Mus musculus: one gene and its partner. The protein of the gene in region 1 purifies or fractionates together with the protein of each later gene. This does not show direct contact. Links are inferred from orthologs where the notes say so. Each region holds a gene or a part of one and is shown in the gene's direction. Other genes may lie near its edges. The genes, in order: Cnot7 and Capzb.

Region 1 (16,205 bases):
TGAGAACAAAAGCCTTTGAGAAGATAAAAGTAGTACTGCATAATGTGGGAAGCATCATAATAGCATCTTAGACGTGTTGAAGGATGGTGGAAATTGACCTTGTTGAATGCCTAGAAGGAGCGTGTTAGTGCACTAGGCTCTGCAGCACAGTGTTGGTGAACATTGTCCAACATCATAATAGCCTAGTGGTTTTCATCTCTCTGCCTGTTGTCTGTGCTTGCGAAAATTTTTGTGTTTAATTCTCACATTTGTCCAAGTCAGGGTTCTTTTAGGTTTGCCAGTGTTGTTTCAAGTTTTACCATTAGCATCAAGGGAGTAAGTGCAAAGCATTATTTATCAGGTGTAAATAGAAAGATTTGTGGAAAGATATGTATAGTTGCAGTGTGTGTTGCATTAAGCTTTGCATAGATTCTTGAGAGTAGCCCACTTATAAGAAATACCTACAATTGGAAGAACGCTCTTCAAGTCTTACTTAACATTCTCTGAATCTTGAAGGCATGACTTGTAATACCTAGATCAGTATTAGGTAACAAACATTTAGGAAAAAATAAATACTCTCTATGTAAAAATGTGTCTTTAGACATATTGGTATTTTGGTCACTGTAACTGTTGTACTTACTGTGGGCTTGAAAGCAAGCATGGTTATTAATGTGTGTTTTCAAGCTAAGACTTTGCTTTCTTTGCCCAGTGCTTGATAAACTCTGTAACAGAAAAAGAACATCACAGCCATAGTTAACGAGCACACTGGCTGCTATTGTGTCCTCTTCAGAGCTAAACTTGAGTGTTATGGAGTGAGCAAGCTGGATTATCCTCACCACTGACATAGCCTAAAACTGTTGGCTTGATGGACAGCATTTTCTAGTAGTGTTTTCTCACCTTCTCATTAGCTCCTCAGGTTAAAGGTGAGGTAAACACACTTGCGAGGTGTGGATTTACCCACAGGATTACTGTTAACATTGAAGTATATACATTTCAGACATAAAGAAAGAAAACTTGACTGTAACAGTGTTACACTGTGACTTTATAAAGCATATTTGCTGACATTTTTTTTCTTTTTTACAAAAAGCATGCTTTTGAAACTGCATTAGTATTGAAAAGTTGAAACAACTTTTACTAGTTTCTCAACACTTCCTCCTAGTTGTTGTGTAACTATTATATTTTTGGTATATATTAAGGATTTCTCATTTATATGTGATATTGGTGATATTGTTATTCAGAGTTCTGAGTAATCCGTTATTTGACCTTTTTCTGGTTTTTTTTTGTGGGGTTTTGTTTTGGTTTTTTTTGTTGTTTGTTTGTTTTTTGTTTTATTTTGCATAGCCCTGGTTGTCTTGAACTTGCTTTGTAGACCAGGGTGGTCTCGAGCTCAGAGATCTGCCTGTCTGCCACCTAAGTGGACCTTTTTCTTAATGTACTGTGGTATATCTAACTATGCTGTGGTTGGATGATTAGGGTCTATGCTTTAGGTTCTTTAGTGAGCCCTTCACATGGCTCCTGACTCATGATGGCTCAACTTACACTTTTTGACTATATACAGAAGTAGTATGCATTCAGTGGATGAGACATTAAATTTTGAATTTTGTGCCATTTCTTTGGCAGCACTGTATACTCTTGTACAGTGTTGGGTAGCAGTAGGAAGCACTGTCTCCCAGCTGGCTGCTCTTCTCTATGATAGCTTGCATTACACTCTGCTGCCAAGCATTTAGGTGATGTAGTAATATTTTCACCTTTTGTTACTGTCGTCCTAACTTCTAATGAGGTTATCAGGTTATAACCTTGATCATGGAGTATCTGTATATTCTTCGGAAACTTTGTGGTTAATTTATTGGAAGTTGAAATCTAAATCCAAAGATGAAAACCTTGTTAAATTTTATGTATTCATTCCCAGAAGGAATATTTCAGTAAGTTTTAACTGGGCACATATGTGCATATTAAGAAACAAGCAGGCCGGCTTGCTACTGTTTTCTGAAAGTTATAGTCTTTTGCAAATTGGAAACTTCTGCCCAGTTTCATCCATCAAAAGAATAAATAATTAGTCTATTTTAAATAGCTTGCTATTTGGACTTGTGAGAATACTTCCTATTTTTAGTTGTCTTCTTGTCATTCATGGACTTTGCAATTTTAGATATATTTTTGTGTTATTACTTTATTTTGAGCTGTTATTTGAGTTTATTAAGGTCTATTGTTATTAATTTAATTTATTAAAAACTAAAGATGGCTAACCATTAGTATAAAAGTAAGTGACATTTGAAGGAGGTGCTATATCGACCCTATGGTGGGCATCTGGGAGGTGATCAAGAAGTAGTTTAATGTTGATAAGAACACGTTTAGAAGTGTGAGTTCTTATAATAGGGTTTATTCATATTATAAAAATAGGAAATTTGGTATTTTTACATGATTGAGTTAGTAGATAGTGCATCTTTAGGATATTAACTAAGATAGCCGTATGTACCTATGCCTTTTGGAAAATCTTCGGAGATTTTTACATGTTTTTTACTCATGTTTAGTCATAACTATATACTTTGCTAACTTAAATCTGAATAATAGATGTAACAGGCAGTAGCCAACACCAGATGAAATTCTTACAGTTTGACTAAACAATGTTATAGTTACTTTTTAATGTTAGTTTTAGTATTTTTCCCTTTATTGCTAGAATGTTTGAGAGTAGAGAAAGCAGAATGTAGAACATCTAAAGTTGGTACCATCAGAAAAGGATTGTACAGTGATTTGGAAATGAGACTCCTAATTGCTATCAAATTTACCTTACTGTAGGAAGTTTCCTTCATCCTCTCTAGAGATTGACCTCACCATTAAGGTTATGAGTTGGGTATTATAAAGTATGAGTTCTGTACCAAACTTTACTATAAAAGACTCATTCTACAAAGCTTAGACTGAGTTATATAAATTTTGCAGAAGAGAGAGAAAGAAAGGGAGTGTTCATGTGTCTTTGTTTGCCAACCTTACTTTATTATAAAATACCGAGGTCCTCCTCCAGGTCTCTCACCTGGGAATTGTGATTCAATAGGTCTGGGACTGCATTGGGACCTGGGAATCCATATTTTTGGTAAGTTCCCCTGGTGATTATTATCATTGGGCAAGTTTGGGAAATAATGACTTAAATGCACCAAGACTCACTATCCTACCTTATTGATGTATTATTTAATTTGGTAATGGTTACATAATGTTGACTATAATAAAATAACTTGAGCATGTGGCTAAGAGCAACATGAGCCTGGAGAACAGTCTACTGTATTCTTGATTGATTAATCGTGTTTAAACGAGCTTCAGTGTGAGCCCAAGGACCTCATTTAAGGGACATATTTTTAGTATAACAAACAATTTAACCGAGGGTAGTGGGAGGGCCTGCATTGAATTTATTCTGATATCTTTCCTACAGGATGTTTCAAGAGAAAGCATGATGTTTGAAAGTGATGACTGTGGCTCCTCTCTGTTTTTAGATGCTTCAATTCTTAATTTTGTCATTTAGTTCCTGACAGTCTGGGAACTAAACTGACCTTTGAAATTGATTTCCAGAGAATAAGCTACAAAAATACATCTGATGAAAATCAAACATTAATTTTGGTTTTGTTAGTTTTATTGAAGTCTTTTATAGAAATTTTCTTTTGCTGATGGTAGAAACCAATGTTAAGGTTTTTTAAAAAGTAAATAAAAATAAGTGATAAATCCACAAGATACTTTTTCATGAATCTTCAACTTTTTAATATAATACTTAATGTATTTGTGCTTAGAAACTATAGGTGGCTTTTTGTGTGGTTTAAGTAAAAGTTTGAAGAGCTGGTTTATAGTGTGCTTCCTGGCTTGGTTTAAGGTAGTCGTCTAGGATTGTATTTGCCTCTAATGTAGGTATGTGATTGCTGAAGAAGAAATGATGTCATAACTGAGTCTTTATCTGAACAGTTCACTGCTTAACTAGAGCCGCTGAAAGGCTCCTCATTTGTGAGAGGAGGCATCTCCTTTTTCTTTAAGATGGAATGTAGTTTAACTCAGCCACAAGAGATGTTGGCCACTTGGTGTCTCCTTCCTGGTTCTGCTGAGAGCATGAGAGGTGTGCATAACCCCTCATGGCTGTGGTTACAGCTCCATCTGGCAGCACTAAAATAGCTGCAGAGACTGAAAAGAACATGTCTGTGGTAGCCTCTGGTGAGTAAAAGACCCTTTTTAAGCCCAGTGAAATGTATGTAATGTTTAGAAGCTGATGAAATTGAGTTGGTGTTAAGGGTGAACTCACCATTGGACTTTTTGAATGATTATTTACTTTTTGGATACCTCATATTTTATTTTTCTTGATCATTGTGAAGCATTTGAATGGTTGGACATAAACCAATCCTCTGTCTTGTTTCTGCATTGTAGTTGTAGGCATAAGTGGAGAACAACTGTTTAATGGGAATTTTGAACTTTCGTTTTCTTTCTCCTGCCAGGGAGGACATGTATGCTCAGGACTCTATAGAGCTACTAACAACATCTGGTATCCAGTTTAAAAAACACGAGGAGGAAGGAATTGAGACCCAATATTTTGCAGAACTTCTTATGACTTCAGGAGTGGTTCTTTGTGAAGGGGTCAAATGGCTATCATTTCACAGGTAAAAAATAAATAAATAAATAAATAAATAAATAAATAAATAAATAAATAAATAAATAAATAAATAAATAAATAAATAAATAAGGGGTTGCAGTGTGCTTCTGTCCCATCTGCCTTTTACGTCTGTCTGGGTTACTGTGTCAGCAGTGTTGTGCTTAGCTCTAGAAGGAATTAGCTGCCGTGAGTCTGTCTAGTACCTCACTGAGAACAGTGCTGTGGATCTTTTAACAAAACCAAAACCACACATACCTGCTCTTGGGTGCGTGTACCAAAGATCTTCTATGGTAAAACTTCTCCTCCTTCAAATTACAAGTAAAATAATAAACATCAAATAAAAGTTGATTTTGTTTGTCCTCCAAAAGATAGGCTCAGTAAGGTCATTTGCCAAATAATGAGTTTAAATTATAGGTAAGAAAAAGATACTTTATAGCTATAATTCCTCTCCTTTAACCCAGTGGAGGAAACTCATGAACCTAAAGGTCAGCACCAGCAAACGCTTGTTGTACGGAGATGTCTGGGGTTGGGCTTCAGGGAAGGCTGGCACAGGCCCTTCACAGGAGGACTTCAGGAGGGGAAGGAGTTAGGCCGCTGTGGGAAGACTCGTGATAAAGGATGTGTGACGTCAGTTTGAGGGAGCAGGGGGTTGTATTGTATAAAAAACCAGTTCTTACTTTTCCTTAGTTCCTGTCACATTTAACTTTTCCATTGACAACTGTCTCGGAGAGTTATACTGACATAGAAACATTTGAGGAAATGTACATCTTAATTAAGTCACTTAGTGGAAATGAAATACTCTGTTAGGGATTTATTCTTCGAAATTGGAAAGTGTCACCATCTCATGTAAATGGTGACAAGGTTTTACATGATTTTTGCCTTTGGCATGTTAAGTCTTGCTGGTTTATTACATTTTCACATACCTTCCCATTCACTGTGGCAGTGACCTTACTGAACCTATCTTTTGGGGTGTGCACTTGCATGTCTGTGTGGTTGACATAAAACACTCAGCTTTTACTTGGGTATTGGGGGTCAAAAATACTCATGTTTGAACATCATCTCTCCAGCTTACATATCAGAAAAATGTTATTTTAGTGACTGTAGAGTTAAATTTATACTATCATGTGTTCAAGATGCTGAGTGATCAGTTTCTGCACTGTAGTTATGGACGTGTTTCTTTTCATTGTTCCTGTGTGTACGTTATTGTTAATCCTTTTGCCTATAGTATGACTTGTTTAACTTTCTATCTGAAAAACTAATTTCTTTCATTGTATGGTATTAATGTATTTTTTTCTGAATTATTTTAATCTTTTTATTAGTGGTTATGACTTTGGCTATTTAATCAAAATTCTGACCAACTCTAACTTGCCTGAGGAAGAACTTGATTTCTTTGAGATCCTTCGGTTATTTTTTCCTGTCATTTATGATGTGAAGTACCTCATGAAGAGCTGCAAAAATCTCAAAGTAAGGCTTCAGATGACTTTATCCGGAACTAGCACATTAGTTAGCCCAATGAGTCTCAACCTGGAAGTTGAACAACCCTTTCACAGGGATCAATTATGACCATTGGAAAACACAAATATTTATATTATGATTCATAACAGAAAAATCATAGTTAAGAAGCGATAAAAATAGTTTTATGGTTGGGGTTCACCACAACAAAGCTGTATTAAAGGATGCAGCATTAGGAAGGTTGAGAAGCACAATTTAGACCAAGTAATTTCTATAATATCTTAGGCCTGAATGTTTTAAACCATGTTTTAGAAGTTATGTTAAGCCGGGCAGTGGTGGTGCATGCCTTTAATCCCAGCACTTAGGAGGCAGAGGCAGTCAGATTTCTGAGTTCAAGGCTGGCCCGGTCTACAGAATAAGTTCCAGGACAGCCAGGGCTACACAGAAAAACCCTGTCTCCAAAAAAAAGAAAAAAGTTAGTTAAATTATCTGATCCTATTCTTAATAAACAATCTCTCTTCAAAGCTGCGGTATTTATCTTAACAGGATAAGGTTTGTTTTGGTTTTGTGTTTTCCTTGGTTGGATTTTTGTCTTGTTGTAGATACTTTAAATTGTATTTTATGTATGTGGGTATTTTACTTGCATGTGTATATGCACTAAATGTGTGCCTGCTGTCTGAGGAGGTTAGAAGAGGGCATCCCATCTCCTAGATTATAGTTATGGATGGTTGTGAACCACCATGCTGTGTTGGGGCTGAGCCTGTGTCCTCTGCAAAAACAGCAAGTGCTCTTACCTGCTGAGCTATCTTTCCAACCAAGTTATCTTACCTGCTGAGCCATTTTTCCAGCCCAGAATAATGTTGATATATTAATTGCATTAAATATATTTAAGAGGGCTGGTGAGATGGCTCAGTGGGTAAGAGCACCCGACTGCTCTTCCGAAGGTCCAGAGTTCAAATCCCAGCAACCACATGGTGGCTCACAACCATCCGTAATAAGATCTGACTCCCTCTTCTGGTGTGTCTGAAGACAGCTACAGTGTACTTACATATAATAATAAAATAAATCTTTTAAAAATATATATATATTTAAGATACACACACTCTCACTCACTTCTGTGGAAGTTTACAGCAAGAGGTAGCAGAGGCTAAAAGAGAGAGTGTCAGACCCTCTGGAACTGGAGTTATGGGTACTTGTGAGCCACCTAGTGGGTGCTAGAAACTGAAATTTGGTCCTCCACAACAGCTGTGCTCTTAGCTGCTGAGCCAACTCTTTAGTCCCCAGAATAAATTTTTAACAAAAGCCAAGCTAAGGGCCATGTTTTTGTTATTGATGCCAGATTGAGGGTCATCAACTGAAATGAAAGTGTGAGGTGTACACTGACAGAGCCCTGTATTACAGAGGTTCTCATACTCCCAGCACACAGAACTATCACAAGCATACAGATTGGGGTTGGCCAGCAGGGGGCAGAGACACTCAGTAGTGTTCTAAGGTGGTTTTCCTTCAGATTATCCTGACTAGAGACTCTCCTTTATTCTTTCTTGTTAAAGTATGATGTTGTTATTTTCGTAGCTAAAACTGGTTAGGCATAAATACTATATAGTAAATGTGTAGGTTCTATATAGACAGTAGCTTATTCTGATAATACTGAACATATGTAGCCATGTATTTTTAACCTTTGGACATTAATTTTATCAAAACAAACATTTCCTGATTAAAGAAAAGTACTACTTTGGCTCAAGAGCAAATTCCCCTGAGTTGGCACAGATCCCTGGCAATACACTGAGTGGGTTTTTAGTTGCTGGATTTTGGTGTGATATGTTAAGTTATAACTAAGGAAACAAGTGTATGTGTAGCCAATATTGTCCCTGTCTTCAGTAAAACCAAGGTTGGCCAAGTTTTCCCTATCTAGGTTTTAGAAAAATACAGACAGAGCTTTGCTTTAGGAAACAGTAAGGAATTTAATAGTTTTTCTTAAGCAAGAATAGAGGAATTATAATGTGGAAGCTTTAGTTTCAACAATTTACTGAGAATTGTAGGACAGAAGTAATTTGTCACTGTTGTAGGTGTGGTGCCAAATAACTAGGAGAACTTCTTGAAAGATTATCTCATGACTGTCAGTTGAAAGTCACAGAATCCTGTGTCATTTGAGGTTTCCTCATAAGTGAACTCCAGCAGAGTATTCTGACTACTTACACTGATGAGTGGCATGCTGAGAATCTAAGGCTCCCACCTGGCTGGCTCTGGAAGTTTTTGGTTTTGTTTTGTTTTGTTTTGTTTTGGTTATTTATTTATTTATTTTTGGTTTTTCAAGACAGGGTTTCTTTTATTTATTTATTTATTTTTGGTTTTTCAAGACAGGGTTTCTCTGTATAGCCCTGGCTGTCCTGGAACTTACTTTGTAGACCAGGCTGGCCTCGAACTCAGAAATCCGCCTGCCTCTGCCTCCTGAGTGCTGGGATTAAAGGCGTGCGCCACCATGCCCGGCTGTATTTTGTTTTTTTAATTGACAGCTTGGTATAATGATAGTTTTCAGAAACAGAGTCCTAATTTTTTATTCTTCTATATATTCAGAAATATCTAAAAATATCAAATATTTTATTGAGTGCTATGTGAGCTGCTCACATTAAAAGTGTATGTTAGCAATAAGGTGCTACCAGTCATTCATATCTAGTCTGCTGCTGTGTTCTAAGCAGCTGCCAAGGATGCATGGTGCACACAATGTTAGAAACCGTTGCTGGCAGGAGTCCTGTCAGGCTAGGATGTGACTACAGGATAGTAAAGGCTTTGTATTTTAAGGAGGAAGTTGATTGGTAGTCTGTTCTGTGTCTGTCTATTTCTTCTCTTTTCCTTTGACACTCGTTATTTTTCTCAGTCATAGCTATAGTAATATAAGCAGATCAGAGCAACCATTCTAAAAGAGTTGTATATTTGTAAAATTCTCTTTTTAGTTGAGAAAATGGAAATTATGTGGTAGATTGACAATGACAGTGGTCTGAACACTCATGTTGTCTTTGTTTTACTAAGTTTTAAATACTTTAGGGGATGCAGATATTTTTAATGACACTGAGTATGGTTTATTACTGTTACCCTGAATATGATCTACTTCCTTCATATCTCTGGAAAGTTGTTAAGGCATGCTTAACTTGCCTTAAGATGTATAATTAAAATAAAATTTTCCTATTAGAATTTCATATTCTGGTAAAAAAAGGCTTTTATAGTCCACAGATAAATTACAGATTCATATTTTATCAATCCCCTTGCCATCTTTACAAGGTTCATCTTTACATATTAAAAATGTATTCATATTTTTGTCAGTGTCTAAATCTGTAATTGTGAATTCCAGTCCCAAAGTCCTCTCTATTTGACAAGCAACTTTTCTTCCTTCTAGGGTGGATTACAGGAAGTTGCTGAGCAGTTAGAGCTGGAGCGCATAGGCCCTCAGCACCAGGCAGGATCTGACTCACTGCTTACAGGAATGGCCTTTTTCAAAATGAGAGAAGTATGAAGACATCAGTGCCTTTTTCTTGGTTGTTAGGTAGAGAACATTAAAGGTCTGATGACAAAAGTTTTGGGCATTAAGAACCTACTAAGTGAAGATATAAATAGAGGTACTATATAAGTTACATCCACCACATTTGAATGAAAATGTTAAATAAGTCCTCCTGAAATGTAACGCAAAAGGAAATAGAATAAACTCTTTATAGAATAAAAAAACATTATTTATTCTACTGAAATATGTTGTTTATAGAATAAAAAATTAGGTGATTGTAGAGATCATGTACATATGAACATGCTGTTTTTTAAGCTAAAAAGGTAATAGTGAGGGAACTCAACTTTCTTAGACCCCATACGAGCCAGGGAGTCGTACCTTCTTTTTCTAGAAACTGGTGGCGAAAATAGATTTGCTCATGTCATTCTTCATTGCTTTAAAGGTTTTATAAAGTAGAACTTAACAGTTTTTACTAAGTCTTAAAGGCTTTTTGAATATATAGGTATTAATTAAATCTGAAGTCTGACATATAGTTGAGTCAAAACTATCAGGAATTCAAGTATAAAATTGTTAGGAGTAGAAGGATGATATGTAGTGGAACTGAGTGTTTTTAGGATAGATAACTAGGTGATAGATGTCGTGGTTACTTCATTGCTGATAATAATAAACAAATTTTAATTGTATACCCACACACACACACACACACACACACATATATACACACACACACACACACACATGTATTCTATTTTTGGTACACTGTGTGTGTGTGTCCTATTTTAGTTTGGTATAAATGGTACAAATATATATATAAAATGTGCCTACAGAAACACATTTTTATGAAATAGTTGCTGTGGAATTATTTTGAGTATATTCTCTTGGTAAAAACATGCTATTGACAGAACGCATTTGACTTGTTTTGCCAGGTAGTATTGATTCAGAAGTTATTTGAATTGTCCACTCACGTAACTAACTTAGTTTCAGTATAGGACCACCTTTTGGATTTTTTTTTTTTTTTTAGTTTTTTTGAGACAGGGTTTCTCTGTTTAGTCTTGGCTGTCCTGGAACTCAGTTTGTAGACCAGGCTGGCCTCGAACTCAGAAATCCACCTGCCTCTGCCTCCTGAGTGCTGGGATTAAAGGCGTGCACCACCACTGCCTAGCTGGATTTTTATTTTAAAATGTCTTATGGCTAGTCAGTGGTGGAATTCTGGCACCAGTTTGTTATCCTTATTTTCCTTTTTATTGTCTTCTTCAAGGACAGTGATGTAGTGAGAGTGTTAAGGTTTACTGTCTATACCATGCTTAGGATTTTGTTAATTTTAGTCAGTTCACCCTTGCACCTAGACTTAAGACAACCTAAGATGGTATAATGTCTCCTCCCCTTCTCGACATTACTTCTCATATTCTGTGAAGTTTGTTATGTTAAAGAAATGAAAATGTCTGCCATGTTTTTTATGCTCATAAGTTCTTATTAAAATGAGGTAAATGTTAACGAAAAATATTTTTGCTTTTTAGAACGTGTCCTTTAGGCCTGTAGTTAAGGGCATCAGTCAGTCTTATTTATTAAATATGCAGCATAGCTTCTCAAAGGAACATCACAGAAAGAGTTAGTAGCAATTACAGTGTTGAGATGTAAACTACAGGTTGTATCATTTGCTTAAGATGATTTTTTTTTCTTTCAAAATTTTCTTTTTAGATGTTCTTTGAAGATCACATTGATGATGCCAAATACTGTGGTCACTTATATGGCCTTGGTTCTGGCTCATCCTATGTACAGAACGGCACAGGGAATGCATATGAAGAGGAAGCCAGCAAGCAGTCATGACAGGAAATAGTCTTCTTATTTTTATTTTATACGAGTTACACACATGCTTGTATATAGGTTTTATCATCCCTTAAATAATAGGCAATACCCCCCCCCTTTTGTAGACCTTCTCTGCTTTCAGTAATAAGTATGGCCTTTCTTAGCTATGATCTTAATAAATTAAAGTACATTCAGGTTAAATCTGGCCTTAATTTAATACACTTCTTATCAAGCTTGTGTGACAAAGCTACATTACTGAATAATTTGATAAACTTTGCCTACTTGAGCTTGGTTTTGTTTTTCCCTTTTCCTAAATTAACTAGCATTGAGTGTAATTTATTTCCCTCTTCCATGCCTCTCCTTCTATTCTGCAGTACTTATAGGTATTTAAGATTGTGGACCATCAAGTTTGCACTTTAGAGAGTGATTTCAATCCTCTATTTTATCAGAAATTGTGATTTTTCTTGCTCTTAGCTAGAAAAATAACCATCTACCACCTTTTTACAGTATTTGCTTGTTTTTGACATTCAGAGTACAGCACGTGCATTGTGCAAATTGTTCAACAGGAATAACAGAAAAAGACAAGGAACTACTGAAGAGCCTAGTAACTACTGTTTCTGTGTGTAGTGTTTAGCCTTCCAAGCACATCTCATGTCTGTTGGTTTCTAATTGGCATGCATAGGCTGCTATGTGACTGAAGAATTTCAAACCAGCTTTACACCCTTCAGGAAGAAGCCCTGTGATTGGCTATCTCCTCTCTGCCAGAAGGCTGGCCATTAAGATGTTGGAGCTCCAGTTTTATGACAGCACCGCCTCCCTTGATCGGCTTCCTTTTACTCCATCACTTTTACCCTTACTGTTTTATTTTATAAACATATTTATGATGTTCTTGATTTGTTAACTACACAAATCAATTTCATTAAAGTCCAAAGATAACAAGTCTTAAGGTACATTTTATATCAATAAAAATACAAAATAAATGTGATTTCATAAATGCTACAAAAATAAATAATGGAGAGATTTGGTGCAAAACAACAAAATGCAAAAAATATATATAAATACACACATATATAGCTAATAAAATTACCTGAGGAGTGTAATGCTTGTTTATTTTTTTGTGTATATCTTTGCAATCTATTTTATATATATTGACAAGAGACTGTGAAATATTTAGCCATGCAGAATATGTGACCAGACCAGAGCATGTGTTGGAAGATTTTGGTGAACATTAACTCTACCCTGAAGTGATGGACTACAAGTTGTAATGTGTGTTATCTACACTTCAATCGATATTAGCAAGTCTCCAACTGTTAGCAACATAGTTCGTTTCCCTTGTACATTCTGTAAACATGATATGAAAATGCTGTACCTGGGCGGTCCTTTTTAAACTAAACATTATTTGCAAAACAGAGGGTATTATTTGTTTTTAAAGCTTTTGTAAATAAAGGCTTCAAAAATGTTTTCCTATATGGTTGTGACTGATGGCTTTGGTTTTGGGGCTCTTATTTAGAAGTGTTGAATACTTGAGCCATTTTCTTTGGGTAACAGGACTTCACTAGGTGGTGTGTGTGTTCTCAAAAGATTGGTTTAGTTTTTATTAGTGTTCAAAGTTGCAGTAAGGCCAGCTGATCCATAAATCAGTTCTCCAGCCCAGAGCCTGGGCCATAAAGCCTGGCACTCTGACCCCTTTGTATCAACTGTATTCCTTTCCTTGCCCTTTGTTAATTACCTGACTGAAAGAAATTAGAAGTCTCTGGGTGTAGAAGCTCACATCCGTAATCCTGCTGTTGTGAGTGACTGTCCTGAGTCAATTTCCACTGTCTTGGTGTGTTCAGCTGCACTCCCTTGCAAAAGGATTTTTCCATGCTGGTCTTTATCTGATTACATCCCGTTTAGGCAGGATGGAGAAGGCCAAAATAGCCTCACTTGAGTATCCAGACACTATACTGTTGCGCAGCTTTTCCTTAGTTGTACACGTCCTGGGAGAGGCTAGAGGTTAGAGACCTGGAAGATTAGGGGAAAGGAGTATATGCAGATAATGAGAAGCCCTCCTCCCTGTTTGGTAAAGACTTTCTAATTACAACTGTTGAAAGGAGTATCCATACCATTGCTGGTAACCCTCACATTATGCTCTGTAAGGAAACTCCACAAACTCAGTGTTTCCTCAGAGTGAAGGTGGGCCATGGTTTGTCCTTGGAACCCTAGGAAGAGGACTAATTTTATCTCCCCAGGAACACCTAGCATTGGGGAGATCCAAGGAGGATCTTGAGTTTGATAAGAGTAGAAAACCCTGGCTTCAATCCCCTTTAACCTCCAGAAAGGATAGAAGGGAATCTCTGTCTTTTGCTTTTTTAAGACTTACAAACTAAGTATACTTAGCACAACCTTACTGTGACTTATTTTGAAAATCCAAGATGAAGCAGTGTTCTATGGTTTCTTTTTCACCTTCCTCTCAGAAACTGGAACTGCTTGTTCCGCATCTGTTGCTGAGTTTCCTGATTTGTATCAATTTGGCTTTCTTCTCTAGAAGTCACTTTTGCTCAGGACTGTTAAAACCTTACTAAAATCTCAGCTTTGAATACATTTGATCCAGTCATCTGGAATCACCAGTCTTTACAGAAGAAAGGTTGAACTGGTCTATAAGGCAATCTGCTGTACTTTTGTGTCTTGCAAACTGAGAATTTAAAAACCATTTTTTAAATGGTTAGACTGTGTGCAGAACATGTCCTAACATGTAAATTATATGAAATTCCAATTTCAGTATCCATAAGTGAAGGGGTTATCGCAGAGAAAGGACCTTCAGTTGGGGAAATGCCTCCATGAGATCCAGCTGTGGGGTATTTTCTCAATTAGTGATCAAGGGGAAAGGCCCCTTGTGGGTGGGACCATCTCTGGGCTGGGAGTCTTGGGTTCTATAAGAGAGCAGGCTGAGCAAGCCAGGGGAAGCAAATCAGTAAAGAACATCTCTCCATGGCCTCTGCATCAGCTCCTGCTTCCTGACCTGCTTGAGTTCCAGTCCTGACTTCCTTGGTGATGAACAACAGTATGGAAGTGTAAGATGAATAAACCCTTTCCTCCCCAACTTGCTTCTTGGTCATGATGTTTGTGCAGGAACAGAAACCCTAAGACACTTTTATTCCTTTCTTTTTTTGAAGACAGGGTCTCAAAAAAAAAAAAAAAAAAGTCAGGCTGTGGTGGCTCACGCCTTTAATCCCAACACATGGGAGGCAGAGGCAGGTGTATCTCTGAGTTGGATGCTAGCCTGGTCTACAGAGTGAAATCCAGAAGAGCCAAGTCTACACAGAAAATCTGTCTGAAGGAAAAACAACAACCCAAAAGCCCAAAGTTTGAGTATGTAATTATGGCTGTCCTCAAACTCACTATGTACTCAAAGAGATCCCCCCTCCCTCCTATCTTCTGAGTTCAGGGATGAAAGATATGCATGACCACACTGGGATTTTTGTTGTAATTTTTAAATTTAGGGTTAAGAGCAATTTTTCTGAATGAGAACTTGTCCTCAGTCAACTACTGGGGCAGTGACTTTGGCTATCAGCTTTTATTATAAGTTTGGCAGAGTTCCTTAACAAGTTTGCCTTAAAATTACAAAGCAAAACAATACCTTTACTGCGTTAGTTTTCAGCAAAGACGAATCCTTTAAATCAGAAGCCTTCCAAGTTGTTCCGTACTCTAGGTGCTATTAAAGTTTAAATGAGGGCTGGCAGAAATGGCTCAGTGAGTAAAACTATTAGTCTGATAACTCGAGTTTAACTTCTGGAGTCCATATAAAGAGCTGGATCCAAAGTGTGCATTTGCAATCCCAGCACTGAACCTGCAGAAGAGCTCAAGGATAGCCTTGGAGTGAGTATGGAGCAGCAGTAGCAGCAGAAACAAAAGAGACCCTGCTTCAAGATGAAAGGTAAGAACAGCTCTTTAAAGAGACCCTCTTACTTTCACAGATGGCATGGTGACTGCGTGTGCACACCACACGCACACACATATGCATGTGCCTAAAAAAATTAAAAGATATTAAAGGTCTGAGAGATGGTTCAGTGGTTAAGAGCACTGGCTGTTCTTGAATAGGACCCAGGTTCTACTCCCAGCCCCCACACAGTTGTTCCCAAACGTGTGTAACTGTCCCAGGGCATCTGATAACCTCTTCTGATCTCCACAGGGACCAGGGACACATGGGCAAACAGACATACACATAGCTAAAACCTTCATACAATAAAAATAATTTTAAAAACATCCAGGTGGTGGTGGTGGCAAATGCCTTTAATCCCAGCATTTAGGAGGCAGAGGCAAGTGGACCTCTGTGAATTCAAACCCTGTCTTGAAAACCTAGATAGATAGATAGATAGATAGAATTAAGTCATACAAATTAAATGTATATTCTTTATAAATTCTCATTGGAAATGTTTTTCTTCAGTTCTTCACTTTATTTTGATGCAAAGTGCAATAAAAATTGTATTTCAAAATCCATTTAATTTCAATGGAGTTTTTATAGTTCTTATTTTTTTTTTAGAGCTGTTATCAAATTTGTTCTTTGACTGGGACTGGAGAGAGACGGCTCATTGGTTGAGCACACTTGTTGCTCTTACAGAAGACCTGGCTTTATTTCTGAGCATCTCCATGGTGGTTCACTGTCATCTGCAACTCCAGTTCTCGGGGGTTGAACAGAAGAGCATTCTTCTAATGTCTGAAGACGGCAGGCATACATGTGGTGAACATAGACAAACAGGAGAAAATACTTAAAAATGTAAAAGAAATAAATGTTTCTAAAATGTCCTTTGACAATTTAGTAACTTACTGCCTTCTGATCATTCTCATCTCCTGCCCTTTCTCCTCTCTTGTTCACATCCT
Region 2 (16,205 bases), on another chromosome or scaffold:
GCGTTGATGAACGGGTCTGATTTGAACTTGGAACTGGGAAAAGCTGGTGTGACTGTGACACTCCCTCCTGGCCCTCGGCATGTGCAGTTTGTACTTGGTGAGGGGCAGGGCCTCCACAGTCTGTAACTCACAGAAACTGCTTTATACAGAGTGCGTGCAGTGAGCTTTTGAGAACCCTGTCCTGGGTGACTGTAGAGATAAAGTTATCTAATCCTTGGCCATGAAATGGTCAAGGTCTAAAACTGAGCCAGAGCTTCCCGATTGCCTGTGCTGGTGGAGCCCGAAGATAGACAAAAGGGTGTGGGGCCACACCCCCTCTCCCCGAGCCAGAATCACTAAGGTGCACCATGAGTGTAACTTACCAGCCTTGGAAAACGTAAGCCCGTCCTGATCCATTCATTTCTGTTATAAGGAGCCGGATCTCCATGGCTTGTCCAGAGCTCTGCATCAGTGCTGGGCATGTCGTCTCCATTTGCTCTGGGCCCTCAGTCACCAGAGTACTAGCCCACTATGGCAGCCATCTAGGAGCAAGACTATCTTGCCAGCTGTCTCAAAGCCAGGTTCGTGGCTCACTTAGCATTTTGAAGTTGGGAAGGGTACGCTTGACAGGTACATATAATGGTATTAGTAAGGACCCTACAGGGCAGGGTATTCAAATGAGGTTTATAGTATGTCTTTCTGCTTAGGAATCTGATGTTCTGTGAAGGCCTGAGGTGGGGCCTGGAGGAGCTGGGACCACACCCTGTTATGTGTGCTGGGATTGGGCACAGAGAGCAGGCCCTGCTCAGTGGGTAGTGGGTAAACACAGACACTGCTGTTCAGTCCCCTTCCTCCCCTGTCCTCCCAGCTCAGCTGGGTTGGGACAGCTTGCTTTCTTGGCCTTCTGGGTCTTGCTGTGTGCCTTGCAGGGCTGCTAGCTGCAGAGCTGTGTGGTGCCCCCTCCTGTTTTCCTTACCATTCCTGTCATTCTTGTGCTGGCCCCCTTGCCCCAGCCTCACCTAGTGTCTTCAGGTTTCTTTCCTGCTCTGGCAGTCTGGAGATGTCCTGCTAGTGTGCGTCTTCCTGTCTCTAGTCTCTTCCATGGTTCCAAACCAGTTCCTAGGTTAGGAGCCTGACAGAGGCAGAGCAGAGTTGGGACCTGTGTCTGATTTCTCGTTGTGTGCTGTGTTCCAGCGCTGGCATGTGCACCTCTAGGACACTCTTGCTGCTTTCATTGTTTCAGTTCTTAAAAGCATAACTTCAGGGCCTTGGGAGAACAGAAGAATCGGGTTGTAAGCAGAGCCCCCTGCTGGCCATCGAGGTCTCTGGCACCCAACCCTTTCGTCTGGAGTGGGGCAAGCCAGGACGCTCCCCAGCCACGGGCTCCCCATCACTCATGTGCATGTGCACCCGAGTGGACAGGGTCTGCTTTCGATCCTTATCTCTCCGGTGGCGGGCTCCCAGCCAGCAGGCAGATCAAAAGATGGAATGTGTTCATTTGGCCATTTTTTTAAAAAAAATCAAGGTCCAAAGGTTCACTTCTGAAAGGCGAGGGCGCCGGGAATTAGATTATCCGGAGAGCTGAACCACTCCAGCTTTTGTGCCTTTTTTTTTTTTTTAAGGGTTCATCTCAAGTTTCTTTTTCTGGTTGAACAATTTTTTTCAACATTAATAACTAATGGAGAAGAGGAAGAGGCAAAGTGGAACCATATGACAGCGCACACGGCCTTGCCTGTGGCCGGAAGCTTCTGATTTGTGTCCGCTTTCATGCGATCAGCTGTTGGGTTAGATAGTAGGAAAACACGCCATTTGGGCAAGAGCAGTGCTGCAATTTACCTCTCAACCGAGCTGAACTGTGTCCCTGTCCCTTCCTTAGACGCTGGCTTGTGTGACTTGGGTCAGCTTGTTTCTCAGGCCCCGTGTGCCTCTTCTTTAAAGTAGAGGTCTCTGGGCCACCAGGATGGCTCAGTGCATAAAAGCGTTGCCACCGAGACTGAAGACCTGAGTTTGATTCCCAGGTTCCACGTAGTGGAAGGAGAGAACCAACTCCCACAAGTGGTGTCTGACCTCAGTGTCTGCACTATGGCACGGGCACTTTCTTAAAAAATGAATGAGTGAGTGGGTGGGTGGGTGAGTGAGTGCGTGAGTGAATGAATATAGTCTTAAAGAAAAAAATAGTCTCTGTGAAAACCTGTCCTGGGGATAAAGGAGTGATGGCAATAGATTGGAACCCATGGTGACAGAACTCGTCTTTTCTATGGTTTATCGTCACTGTTGTCTGGTTTTTTCCATGTTGTCTCTGTGGGTCTTGAACTCAGTGGAGTCAAATGATCCTTCTGAGTCAGCCTCCTGGGTAGTTTGGACTACAGACATGTGCCTGTCCTGCCTCCCATTAAAGCTGCCTTTGCTGTGCTTGGACTGAACCCAAACCCAGGTGAGAATGCCCAGGGCGGAGGCAGGGCCTGTCCCAACAGACGTATAGCGTTACTATTCCAAGTCACTGGAAATTAAGTTGAACCCTCAGCAGCCCGGTTTGGCCAGCACCATTGCTGTTAGATGGACGTTCCACACAAAAGCTGATGGGGGTAGGTCACGTAGGCAGTGTGGAGCGCAGCCAAACACAGTCTATGCTGGCTCTGCTCCTCACAGTGCTGGAGCACGGAGTAGACTCAGGTGTTTGGACCTGGTCATTCAGCTCATTGATCACTGCAGATTCTGACACCCCGAGAGTGTGGCACAGCCAGGGGCAGGAAGAGCTGAGGCGCAGATTTAGATAACTGACTGGCTCACAGAGCCATTGTTTTCCAGCATGCTCTCAGGCAAAAGACCTCAATGCCTGCTCCCATGGGACCCAAGCATAGATTGAGACCCTCAGCAGCTGATGGGACATGGTGCTTGACTGGGGTCCCCTCATGGCTCCCTGGGCACAGTCTCCCGAGTCTCTGCTGGTATTAGGACAGCCAGTTCAGGAGCAATCAGGGTCCTCTGCTGTCCATTGGTGGAACTCCACGATGCCTGGAGAGAAGTGGGAGTCAGGGACAGGTCTGAAGGAGACTCGGGGAATATGGCAGAGTGTTAGATTGAACAACTAAAAACAGCTATCCTGTGTAACATTAGAGGGGTGGTCAAACTGGAACCGTCTTCCTTGTGACTCAAAATTCAGTTTAACTCAGCAGCCTATAGTTTCTGCACCAACTCTCAATGGGGAGGGTTTTTATACAAACTAGCATGTAGAGGAGATGGCTAGTAGTCCAGTGTTGAGAAGGTGGATAGAGGACAGGATGAGGGGCAGGACTGACACATGGTACACGAATGTACACGCATGTGCATGCGCACACCCCATGTGCCTAGGGCAGCTGCTCCCACACTGTATAGCCACACTGTATAGTCTGTACTTGTTTCCAGTGACAGCACAGTGTCATTCTAGACTAGGTTGTCTTTTATCAGAAGAGGGATTGATGCAAACAGAACTTGAAAATATGGCCCAACTTAAGAACTTGTCTTTTAGGGACCTGAGCAGGCAGAGCCAACTAGCTGTCTGTGACCCATCCTAGGTACTTGTGTGCTCGGGCACATCCTATGTCCTGCACGATCTCCATAGTTTTCCACTGTGTGCTGCCATGGTAAGGGCTCAGTTGAGTGTATGTTCTTCTGTGGTTGTTTGGAGGCGTGGGCTTGCAGAAGTCTGGGATTAGCTCTTTAGGGGTGGCTAGTCTCTGGCATAGTTTGCCTGGTTCTGTCCTTCTGTCATTACTGTGACTCTTCAGGCTGGGCTTGGGGCTTTGGTTTGGTAGTGGTGTTATTTGTTCGTTTTGCTGGTAACTTGAGACACTGAGAATTGAATTGAGGACCTCATGTGCAGTAGGCAAGCACTCTACCACTGAACTATCTTCCCGGATGTCTGTTTTCTCATAACACAAGGTCTTAAGTTACTCAAGTAGGCTTGAAACTCACTGTACAACCCAGCCAGTCTTTGAACTTAGGATCCTCCTGCTTCAGCCTCCCAAATATTTAGGACTGTGCCACCAGGCCTGGTCATACTGATGTGGAATTCATGGTCTTAAATCCTTCTTCTCCCTCAGCCTCCTAAACAGCCAGGATTACAAACGTACATTCCTGTGCCAGCTAGGAATGGAGCCTCTTTCCTTGCAGCTCGCATCGTCTTGCCAGCCTGGCTGCTAAAGGAGATCTGTCTTCCCAAGCATCCTTCAGCATCCGCTGTCTGAAGCAGCAAGGTGTATTGAGATACAGAGAAGGGCAGCGGGGCCAGAGAAATGGCTCAGCGTTAAGAGCACTGACTGCTCTTCTGAAGGTCCTGAGTTCAAATTCCAGCAACCACATGGTGGCTCACAACCATCTGTAATGAGATCTGATGCCCTCTTCTGGGGTCTCTGAAGACAGCGACAGTGTATTTACATATAACAAATAAATAAATCTTTTAAGAAAAAAAAGAAGAAGAAGAGGGCAGCATTGCTACCCAGACAGTGAGGACAGACAAAGAGGACTAGGAGGCTCAAGACAGGACTTGACAATCTGTAAGGAGACCCCAGCAGCAGCCCAGTAGCACAGGTGGGTTCTTAGTGGCAGGCCACAGCACGAAGGGCAGCATGAAGGTGCCAGGGTCATTTCACCGCGCCCATAAAATTCAGCCAGTGCCTCATGCCTGGCTGCCTCATGGAAGCCGTGAAACTTTGCTTCTACAACTAGGGTGTCCCAGGTGGAGGGCTCTAGCTATAACTAAGCTGCAGTGGGGGCTGGGAGGAGCTTTGTACCGTTACTGCTCGCTGTCCTTAGGGACCAGAGTGACAGGGTGAAGGAGTTTGGGAGTCACCTAGCCTAGGGTTGGATTTCTCTATTCACTGCTGGCTGTTGGTGTGACCCTTGGACAGCTTAATGATTCTGGGTCTTAACTCTGTAATCTGTAAATTAAGGTAACAGCTTCCCATTTTGTGCCCTGGTAGGAGCACTTAGGTAAAAAGCATGCTTTGTGATACCTGGTTCAACATCCAAACAGGCACTTAGAGGTGATAGAGAGAGATGTCACCAAAGCTAACTTTGAAAATGACCTTGCCTGTTGGTTGGGTGAATGCACAGGTGCGCGTGAACCATGTTCTGAAAACAAGCATGTCGTGCTTTGGCTGGAGGTATATGCTTCTCCTTGGGGAGCGGTGTATGTATAAGAGTTGGACCATCCAATGGAGCAAGAGGCACTTTGTATGGTAGGCTGTGATGTGCCCTAAGACAGTAGCATGCAGCATCAGAACCTGGTTGTCCTAGTAGTTCTGGCTTTTGGGAGGGACACAGGACCTGCGCTGCATGGCCCCCTCTGTTAGCAGCCCCTTGTCTGGTAAAAGATGAAGCAGGGGTCCCTGTAAACCCAGGCCCTGAGATGAGAAAGTCAGGATGTGGAAACAGTGTAGAAGTGACTCGAACAGAAAGGCATCCACTTATGCAAGGGCTGCCATCCCTTCCTGGAATGTTTTCATGGAGACTGATGTTTGTGTTGGGAGGAGGCAGCCCTGGCCTGCTTCCTCAAAGCCACACCCGGGTTTGGGAATTGTGACTTGTTCTAGCCCACCTGGGCCACAAGCTGTTTTCCCGGCACCTTCTGCTATACAGACCAGGTAAAGCTGCAGGTGAGCTGATTACTCTGCTGTAGAAAGCATATGGACATCTACCTCTGTAGTATATACAGCCGGCTATGGACAGCCTGGATCCACCTCTGTAGTATATACAGCCGGCTATGGACAGCCTGGATCCACCTCTGTAGTATATACATCCGGCTATGGACAGCCTGGATCCACTTCTGTAGTATATATAGCCACCTATGGACAGCCTGGATCCACCTCTGTAGTATATACAACCACCTATGGACAGCCTGGATCCACCTCTATAGTATATACAACCACCTATGGACAGCCTGGATCCACCTCTGTAGTATATACAGCCACCTATGGACAACCTGGTATCGCTTAGCCAGAGGCCTGGAAAGAGCTGGAAACTCCACCCAGCATGGGAGTCTGCGGAGTTCTCCAGAGCCCCGTTCTTCTTTGAGTTCTTCACATTCCTGTATATTTGAAGTGTTTGCCTTCTTCTCAGAGCCTGAGCTGGTATTTTGTCCACCAGAGACCAATACCCAGCACACACCCCCTCATACTCAAAGACCACCCTGGTGGCCAGGTAATTAAAGCCACACCCGGGTTTGGAAAGAAGGCTGCCTCGGAAATCACGTCCCACAACAACGCACGACCAGGTTCCTTTACAGAGAGCCGTGGTTGGGCATATGTGGAGAGGAGCAGACAGATTCCAAATTTTGGCAGAGCACTACAAGCCAGATGTTAACCTGGAGCTGAATTGGAGTTGTTACTTTAATGACATTTCTCCCTGTCCTCTCTTTCTGCCAGGTCCCCAGTCTGTGTGAAGATCTCCTGTCATCTGTTGACCAGCCCCTGAAAATTGCCAGAGACAAGGTGGTGGGCAAGGATTACCTTTTGTGTGACTACAACAGAGACGGGGACTCCTATAGGTGAGCTCTCACACACAGGCTCACCTCATAGCATGGGGCACGTGTAGCCCACCCACACGTCTGTTTGTCCTTCTCTCTCCTCTTCTCAGCTGTCCATCTGATCCACTAACAGGCTGTGTAGGCGCCTCCCTTGAGCTTCGGAGAGAGGGCCTTGGTGCCTTACAGTCCAATGGAAGAGCCGTGTTGTTTCAGGGCCAACTGCCCCGATAGGGTGGCATGTCTGTCCTTCCTTCCTTCCCTTCTCCCTTCCTTTGCTATTACCATGTGGCCAACTTGACATTGGTCCCTGCACGGGAAAACACAGGCAGTAGCTGATGAGCAGCTGTACTGTGATGCACACAGCCAGTTCAGAGCTGGCTGGTGGCCTTAGGGGAGCTGAGAAGAATCTATGCTCCGGGGAGATGGTCCTGGCTTAGATGTTTTTAATGAACTGTTTTGAGATGGTCTCAAAATATATCCCTTGCTGGCCTGGAACTCCCTATGTAGACCAGGCTGACCTCAAACTCACAGAAGTCCTCGTGCCTGTCTCCTGAGTGCTGGGATTAGAGACATGGACCAACATACTTGGGATCATCGCTCTTCAAACTTCCAAGTGTGAGAATCCCAGACCGTTCCAGGCTTTCCCTGGGGATGAGCACACTGGGTCTGGGCTTATTAGAGGCCACACTACCAGTGTTCTTTTTGAGAGGGTTTTGGAGACACAGGGACAGTGACCAGGAAGAGCAGTGTGGGCTGTAAACCAGCCCTGCTCCTCCTAGGGACATGGAGACTTTGACAGTCCCTTGTCATCTCTGGTCTACAAAATAGAAACAGTAGTGATCGTTCAGCCAGCAAAGCCTGCACAAGCATCCTGAGTGCTACCTGTGTGGCAGGCACTGCTCCCAGCTCTGTTCCTGGAGTCTGTTTTGTGAGGAATTCGAACGGCTAGTAACGTTAGGCACGTGCATCAGTGATGGAGATTACAAACATATTGCTAAAGAGAACAGAGCAAGAGGGGAGAGGCAGGGTGGGTAGCCAGTGGGGCCTTCTAGATCACAACTGTGCTCTAGAATGAGTTGTTGAGTCTGCACAGGTTAGGAGCTTCCTGGGTCCCCGGCCCTGGGTGGAGGCAAGCTCGCTCGCAGGTATCCAGGAGGCTGTGAAGGTAAAAGAAAGGTCAGAAGCACAGCGGGGCCAGCACAATGGGAGCCTTGAAGCTCCACCTCAAGTATGGGGTGGCACAGAGCTTGTCCTTGGTTTGAAACGAAGAGAAAGAAAACTAGTGGTGGTGATGGCCCCTCCTACTCCATAGGTTAGTTAGGGAATGACACACCTGAGCATGGGACTGAAATTAGTGGAGAGACTGAGTACTGATGGGTAGAGCTTGGAAGCAGAGTGACAGCTGGGAGGTGTGGGCACTGTCTGTGGAAAGAAGAATCTGGAGTGGGAATGTGAAATGCCTTCTGGGTGGGTGTGGAAGTGCCGTGCAGGTGTGACATGGTAGATCTGAGAGCTGGGCATCTGGGTAGCACTGCAGGGCCCCACTGTGAAGCTGAGGCCCCAGCTCAGGACAGAACTGGTCCCCAGCACATGTACCAGGGCAACCCTTGAGGAGACTTCCTTGAAGGTGATAAGCATGGAGCAGGCCAGGGAGCACATGAGCACAGTGAAAGCCCTCACAGTCGTGCGTGGGCTCGGTTCAGGCTTCCTGGGAAAGATACTGCTGAGACCAGTCTCAGTGGCCGCTGGTTCTGCTTTTTTTATTTTTAAACCTGAAAGCTGAAAGTGAGAAAACTGTGTGCAGGAAGGCAGGGCAGGGCAGGGCAGGGCAGGGCACAGCTTGTGCACTCCTCCCTCAAGGGCTTCAGCCCTTCCAGAGCACCCTGCAGGCCCCACCCCTACTCCCCAGACACCAGAGGGCTCTGGGGATGGGAGCCTCACAGGGGAGCAGCGGCAGTAAGGACAAAGCTTGACTCCCCTCTCCCCTTCTGGATCTGAAACTTCAAGGTCCTCTGATTTTCTCCACACATTTCCATCCTGTGTTTGATCGTTCGCTTAAATAAGATCCTTATGGTGAGGCCGCTGCCAGCAGCGCTGCTTGAACCCTGTTAGCTGAAACAAGAAGCCTTCTGGGGAAATGAAAGGCCTGACTTTTGAAATCCAAGCATTCCTGTCCATCTGTCTTTTCTCAAATGGCCTCCATTTAAGCTTTTAAATGTGTTCTGAGTGCCCCTTCCACTAAGAATATTCTGGGTAATGTTATGATTTTTCCCCTAGCTACAATTACCCTGGCTCCAGGCCTAACGTCTTGAAATGCCGTTGTAGTCTGTGAGGCAAGAGGAATGTGTAACACACTTACAGACTTCTTAGACTTCAGGCCCCGATCTGCATGGTGATGGGTGGTTGCGTCCTAGCACATTGCTTTGTTTTTAAACCGCATTTTGTGTGTGTCTGTCTGTCTATGTGTCTGCCGCTTATAGAGGTTAGGTCCTGAAGGAATCAGTCCTTCCTTCCACCGTGTAGGCCCTGGAGATTGAGCTCAGGTTCTCGGGCCTGGCAGCAGGCACCTTTGCCTGGGTCTCCCATGCCATGTGAAAGAGATGGCGTGGAGAGGGGGCTTGCCCTGCTTACAAGTATGCCAGAAGGTTCTCAGAAGATGCAGGGATGGGGAGGTGGGGTCCAGGTCACAGTTTGGGGTTCTTGCCCACTGTCCCACAGTGAAAGATCCAAACCTCACTGACTTGTGAGTCGTGGTGACCACCTGCACCTGTCAGCTGGCCTGGGCGATCTGAGGCAAGAAGCCTCTGAGTTTCTCTCCTTCCTTCCTGTCCTCAGCCGCCTCCTCCCTTTGTCCATCATTTGTGTTTTGGAGATAGGGTCTAGTTACATAGTTCTGGCTGAACTTGACTCCTGTACCTGCCACACAACGGCAAGGACTACAAGCACACGCTGCCTCCCAAGCTCCACTTTACTCCCTGTCTGCAAGACCCTGCAAAGTCTGTCAGAGTCCCATGAAGGCAGACATCCCACGGGCCCTCTCTGTCAAAGACTCAAGCTAGTGCTGGTCTTGGGGTGTTGTCCCCCCAACTCTGTTGGGGAGTGGTGGGCGGGCTTGAACTTGGAACGGAGGTTTCTTGTTTTGTTTGGGAATTGAGTCTAGGCACCTGAACATGGACAGGTTTCTAAAGGCCCTGCTTAGGCTAGAGAGATGGCTCAGTGGTTAAGAGCACTGACTGCTCTTCCAGAGGTCCTGAGTTCAAATCCCAGCAACCACATAGTGGCTCACAACCATCTCTAATGTGCTCCAATGTCCTCTTCTGGTGTATCTGAAGACAGTGACAGTGTACTCTTATACATAAAATAAATAATTTATTTTTTAAAAGGCCCTGCTCTCTGTGGATAGGTGAATTGCATCCTGGAGCCCTCAAGGGAGTATACACAACAGCTCGGCCCCCCTCTAACACGCCCTGGACCGTCCCTGAGAACACTGTACCTCTAGAGCCACCCCTAAAACACTTCCACCTTTCATGTGACTCACGGCTAGACTGGGTACCAGAAAGATATATCTGTGTGGACAAAGTGGGGGACCAAGGGACAGCAAGCATGTTTTTCCTCTCTTAATGTTAATCCCAGATTGAAAAGGTGTGAGGCTTAATGATTGCTGGGGAAGGCAGTATTCGGCCCTGTGGTAGCAACGCAAGGGTGTAAGTAAGGCTTCTCTTCAGTTGATCACATCTCCCCTCCCGCCTCCGTAGACTCCCTCACTTGTTGGAAATTTCACTTGATGTGTGTGGGTGTGTTGCCTGCATGTGAGTGCCTCTGGAGACCAGAAGAGGATGGTGGGTCCATGGAACTGGAGCTCCAGGTTGGGAGCTGCCAAGTGGGTGCTGGAATCAATCCTGGGTCCTCTGGAAGGACAGCAGTGCTCTCAGCGACTGAGCGAGCTCTCCAGCCTCCCCTAACCTCACTTGTTAGGTCTTTCTGAAGATGCAGCCTGAGACCTCCACCCTTGGGAACAAACAAGGAAACCTTGTAAAAGACCTCTCGTTGCCCTCGGTGACTGAAAGTTCTCCTGGGACGGCGAAAAGCGTTTTTAAAATGCTGCTGGTCTTGGGGTTTGCTTGACTTACCAGGCTTCGTGTGTGCTTAGCCCAGTGTACTGGGAAGCAGCTGTGTTCCCTAAGGAGCTAGGCACTCCATTTCCAGAGTGTCTAGGCTTACTGCCTGCTTCTGTAACTTATAGTCGTCTTCTTAATACTTATTGTTTGAGGGCTGAGGAGCCTCCAGCAAATCAGGGAGGTGAGGGGTACCAGCTGACCACTTTGGTGAGCACAGAGAAATCAGGGAAACGCTGGGACTTGTGGCCAAGGCTCCTGCCCTTCTGTTGGTTCCTGGAAATAGTACATAGTAGCGAATGGTAGCCTTGTTTTCCACCGGAGGAAGTGAGGCTTGGAGCTAAGGTGTTTGCTGTATTAGTCAGTCTGCCGGCTTCTGAACCTTTGCTTTGTAAGACTCTCCAAAAAGCCTCCTGGTGACTTGGCCCCTGAACCTCAGGCAGCTGAGCTGGGGCTAACTGTCTCTGGGATGATTCATAGAACCGTCTCCTCCTTCCTTCTTCCCAGGTCACCGTGGAGTAACAAGTATGACCCTCCTTTGGAAGATGGGGCCATGCCATCTGCTCGGCTCAGAAAGCTGGAGGTAGAGGCCAACAATGCCTTCGACCAATACCGAGACCTGTGAGTGACCCTCTGCACACTAGCTCTAGGGGCTTTGCTGGGGAGAACCTTGTATGAGAGGATGTCTGGGCTGAGCACTCTCCCCTCGCTCTGCTGCCTGGTCACCTAGCTTGCTAAAAGTTGGAGCTCCCTGATGCAGACATGACCATGTTACTCTGTTACCATTGACAGTTGTGGCAGGTAAGTGGGGAGAGTGCCTACTGTGTGTACAACACAGGGCAGGTATTTTGCACTCTACTGTCTCATGTCCTTGCTCTTTGAGTAACAGTAAGGTGCTTTGGATGCCACAGTGACACAGTCAGAATGTAGCCCTCACATACAGAGAGTAAGGAGTTTGTCCAGGGCAGGGGCAGAGCTAAGACTCAAACACAGCTGATGAATCACAAATGCATGGTGAAAGTACAGTCTGTCTGTGAAGCTCAGGCTGACTGAATTTGTGATCGGTGTGAGAACACACCACAGCTCTTAGCTATTACAGCTGTGTTTGGACTGGAGCTCAGGGCCCATGCAGACTGTCCAGTGGCCAGGGCAGAGTGAGCTGAGGTCTCACGCAGTCTTTTTACCCTTCTCTCCTTCAGTTGCATGTGTGTGATGTAGGCATGAGTGTGTGTTCGTGTGTGCATGCACATGTGAATGTGGATGCATGAGCATGTGGAGGAGGTCAGAGGTCAGTGCCAAGCATCCTCTGCTGCTGATCTACACCTTGCTGAAGCAGGCTCCTCTGTTCGGCAGGCCTCACTGGTTAGCAAGCTCCAAGAGTCCTTCTTATCCCATACCCACCCGCCCAATTGCCAGCATGCCCAGCTCTTTACATGTGTATGCAGGGATCGAAACTCCGGTCCCCATGCTTGCATCTCCGTGAACATAATCCAGTGTGCCTGTTTCAGCTCCTTTGTGATCTTAATTTTTGCACACCACCCTGGCCCACCAACGCCAGGCCATTCAGCTGCGCCGCCTTTGAGATCGGGCTCCAGAGAAGGCTGTGCTTAATCAATAGAATCTCATTTTCAATTAAGTTCTGTGCTAGATATATAGTAGTACAAAGTCAGTACAAATCCCCCGTCTGGGATGAGGGTTGGCACACTCCCAAGAGGTGCCAGCTAGTGACCTGATTAGGCTTGCACAGGGCAGAAGGCTGAGCTTGGTTTAGCCTTTTTGTATGTGGCCTTACGAGATGTAAAACTCATCTCTTGAGCCCTGAGATGGGATTTGATCTTGCATCTCTACTTGGTTCAATCCTGGTCTAGAGGCATGAAAATTGAAATGAGAGGAACAGCAAATTTGAACAGTGACCTTAGGGGAGAAGGCTCCCAACTGTGGACTGTGGGCTAGTCTTTCCATTTGCATCAGGTTGCTGTGACACATTTGGGAGGAAGAGGCTCCTCCTCAGTCAGACAGACAGACAGTCACCAAGACGTCATCAGCATGTGGTCCTGAGCATTTCAGTGCCCCCCCACACACACACACACACTTGTCTGCATAGCATCTCTGTCTCAGTGTCCTACGTGGTGAGGTTTTACATCTGGTGCCTTTTAAGGAAACGTTACAAAGGTCCCCTTGCGGGGATGCAGAGATGGAGAGCCGGGATTCAGATCTCCTTTTGCTTGACATTTGTTACAACTGTTACCCTCCCAGTTAAAATGAGGTTTTGTGTCTAAGGTCTCACATCTCCTGTTTTGCCCCTTTGGGGATCTCTCGTCCCAGTGGTGCTAAAAGCCTGCTCTGCCTTCATCTATAGTTTCACTCTCTGATTTCACCTCGCCATAAAAAGAGCTTCAAAGAAGTGAGTTCTTCAGCCCGGGTGTCCAGGCGGAGTCAGATTTGGTGTTGTAGCCACATTGAGAATCAGACAGTGGTAATAAGTCACTAAGCTGTGACCATGAGTGTGGCCCCCTACAGAAATGAGCTGACATGCTCAGAAGTACAAAGAAACTTAGCCAAGTTCACTAGCCAGAACATGGCCAAACTAGGGGGACAATATCATCCCGTTCTCCTTTGTTTTCTGTTGCTGTGATGGAACACTGACTAAAGCCAACGTGGGGAGGGACAGGTTTGTCTATCTTATGGGTTGTAGTTAAACATTGAGGGCAGAGGAAGAGACCATAGTGGATCGCTGCTTACTGGCTCTATTTTTGTGGCTTGCTCAGTTAACTTTCTTATATAAGCCAGGATATCTTCTGAAGGGTGGCACTGCCCACAATGGCCTGGGTCCTCACACCACTTCCACATAAATCATTAATCAAGAAGATGCCCCCACAGACTTGCCCACAGGCCAGGCTGATGGAAGCAGCTCCTCTCCCAGGTGGCTGTGTCAAGTTGGTCAAAGCTAACCAGGCACATTGGCACCCGACAGTCCTTTGCTCATAGGTGTGCATGTGTGCAGCAGCAGGATGGGAGAAGAACAAGCAGCAAACACGTAAGGAAGTCAGCGAGCAGGCAGGGGCCGGGAAGGTGGTGACACGCTCGCTGCCTTTCCACGAGGCGACTCTAGAACTGAAGACTAATGTCCAAAGTCTAGGTGGGCAGAGGAGCTGTGGCACCAGTGTCCCCAGACTGCCACCCTGGATGTGCACACACCTTGTCTCAGAAATCAGAAGCAGACTTGAAAGCCTATCATATCTCATAGCCTTCCATAGCTTTGACAGTTTCTCACAGATACCTTAGAACTTTCTGGAAAGACAGCCCTCCTCAAGTGTCAGATGGGAGTGAGCAGTGCCTCTCTGAAATGTGTGTTGGGTCTCCACATGTGCGGAGCTGAGCTGCCTCAAGTGCTCCTGCAGAGTCCGCGGAGACCACCCAGCCTCATCGAGATCTTCAAGGCTGTTTAAATTGGTGGCAAGGGTGGTTCTGAGTAGTCACTGGCATAAACACATGGTGTCTCTTCCTCAGTGAAGTGGTTCTGACGCATTGCCTTGGGCTGCCAGTGAAGGCCAGGTCTAGATACAGAGCACATTGCTCAGGACTCTGCTCCTCTGTCTCTGCTTCTCTCCTGGCGTACACCAGGCCATTATGGCGGGCATCTCTTCTGTCACTTATTAAGGGTTCTAAAGAAGGAAACAAGATGGACTCTTCCTGCTCCAGGTGCCCAGGGCTCCAACTCTGCTGCTGAGCCAGAGGAGAGGGCCAATTCCGGGTCTCTTAGAGACCAGGGAGGTCCCCTGCCTGGCTGGGTACAGTGAGAGCAGCTTCTCCCCAAAGCTCACTGGAGGGAAAGTTTGGGGATTGTCAACGTGGGTTCCACCATCCATTGTCATCAGAGGCTAAGGAATTTCCCAAGAACATCTAGGAGGACTTATGTGAAATTGAGCCACCCCATTTCTGGGGCAAATATTAAGAAAAAAAATCTTTTTCTCATTTTTTTAAGTACCTTAGTTCACGCACCCCCAGTTCTCAGCCTCTGGGTGTTGTTTGTGTGCTTGTCGATGGCCCTGGAGCCAGAGCCCTTCCTGCCAGGGCTGTGGAGCAGAGGTTTTGGGTGTCTAGGCAACTTTTGTGTGGCACTGAGGGGTTTTCACATTGTTGCCGGGGGACAGGGGTGGCAGGCCATGCCTCACTCTCCTCGGAGCTGCTCCTTCCTACCTTTGGCCTATGCCATAGGAAGACTTGGCTGTCCCCCATGAGTGGAGTGTGAAGCCCCCTGAGGCGCCTGCGCTTGCCTTTTCTCCATGTTGGTAGACGGAGCAAATGCACAGGCCCCTCTGGGAGGAGACACCCACCCAGTGCTACACTGTCCCCATGAGAGTCTAGGAAGCAGGCTGGCTTCAGGGCCACTGGAACTACACAGATCTTTCCTGAAGGAAAAGGAACAGTCGAATGTCTGGCACCTCCGAGCTGGCCAGGCCCATGCTATTCCCAGGAAAGCTGAGTAACTGAAGCCGCCGTGCCCTGGGTGGGGCGTGGGAAAGCAGACTGTCTTCAGCTTGTGACAGTCCCTGTAGTTCAGAATTCTTGGATCATGGCAAGGTATAGAGTAGAGGTCAGGCTTGCCCTATATCCAAGCTTTCGCCCACCTTCCTAGCATATGAGGAACTTGCAGGGTCCTTGTGGAGAGCCCTGGACTTCTGCCTAGCATATGAGGAACACAGGGCCATCTCTGAACCTCGGGAGCCTCTAATCCTGGGAAGGCCACAGCGGACCAACTCATCAGGAGTCTCAGTGCATTCCAAACAGAATAAGGGGCCGAGCTGCCATGGCTTGCTGCCCGTGAGCCCATGTGAACAGCATCAACACTGTGCAGATGGTCACGGTCACTGCCTGAGCCTGTCACCTTGTCTTCACTCCTAGAAGCTCTCCTTCGAAGCCGAGGGAAGGAGTGGGCAGGAACTGTGCTGGACAGCCTCAGCCCAGACCAACTCACTCAGAGATGGGGAGGGCTCAATGCCTCCCTGATGGTTCTCTGCCATGAGAGCCAAGGAGAGACTAGATTCTATCTTCAGGCCCCAGCTTTGATCCCGAGTCTGTAAAGACTTTGACTTTGTAGGGAATTGGAGGTAATCACCCGCACATGGAGTCCGTCTGGGCGGAGTGGCGGCTGGGGCCAGGGTGGCTGCCTTGCAGGCCCTCTGGCTTATATCTCCCATGGGGATTTAGCACACATGTGGGCTTGTGAACATTTCCCAATTAGGGATGAAGGGCTAGCAGTCCTCAAGGTGCACAGGGGCAAGTAGCACCGGGGAGCCAGGCTGGGGCACTGCCTGACTGCCTTTGAACTCCCTTGGTTCCTGCTTTCCCTGCTCCCTGTCCCTTCCCCACGCTACCTCTCCAGTCTTCCCTTCCCTCCACCCAGCCTGTCTCCACTCCATCATTCGCTGCCTCCTGTCTTTGCCATCCTGGGTAGAATGATCACAGTAATGTTTCCCTTCCTGGAGAGAACCGTGGCAACCGTGCACAGACATCTAAAGCACCAGGCTTTAGATGGGGTTGGTTTGTGAAACTGCATGGGAAATGCCTGGTGTGCTTGCCAGAGGTACCAACTGCTCTAGGTC

Evidence for each region.
Region 2: the proteins of Cnot7 (region 1) and Capzb purify together in Homo sapiens (co-immunoprecipitation; 3 studies listed by BioGRID and IntAct, with this or other methods). This does not show direct contact. The link is inferred for Mus musculus from reciprocal best matches to the Homo sapiens genes CNOT7 and CAPZB.

What each region holds. Positions count from the first base shown.
Region 1 is NC_000074.6:40,489,148-40,505,352, reverse strand, and holds the end of Cnot7 (CCR4-NOT transcription complex subunit 7), read left to right. Parts: intron 1-3,025; coding exon of another isoform or gene 3,026-3,064; exon of another isoform or gene 3,065-4,161; intron 4,162-4,439; coding exon 4,440-4,601; intron 4,602-5,913; coding exon 5,914-6,058; intron 6,059-9,437; coding exon 9,438-9,548; exon of another isoform or gene 9,549-9,657; intron 9,658-11,237; coding exon 11,238-11,366; 3' UTR 11,367-12,815; downstream 12,816-16,205. UniProt on the Homo sapiens protein: Has 3'-5' poly(A) exoribonuclease activity for synthetic poly(A) RNA substrate. Its function seems to be partially redundant with that of CNOT8.
Region 2 is NC_000070.6:139,250,878-139,267,082, forward strand, and holds part of Capzb (F-actin-capping protein subunit beta), read left to right. Parts: intron 1-6,383; coding exon 6,384-6,505; intron 6,506-11,106; coding exon 11,107-11,220; intron 11,221-16,205. UniProt on the Homo sapiens protein: F-actin-capping proteins bind in a Ca(2+)-independent manner to the fast growing ends of actin filaments (barbed end) thereby blocking the exchange of subunits at these ends.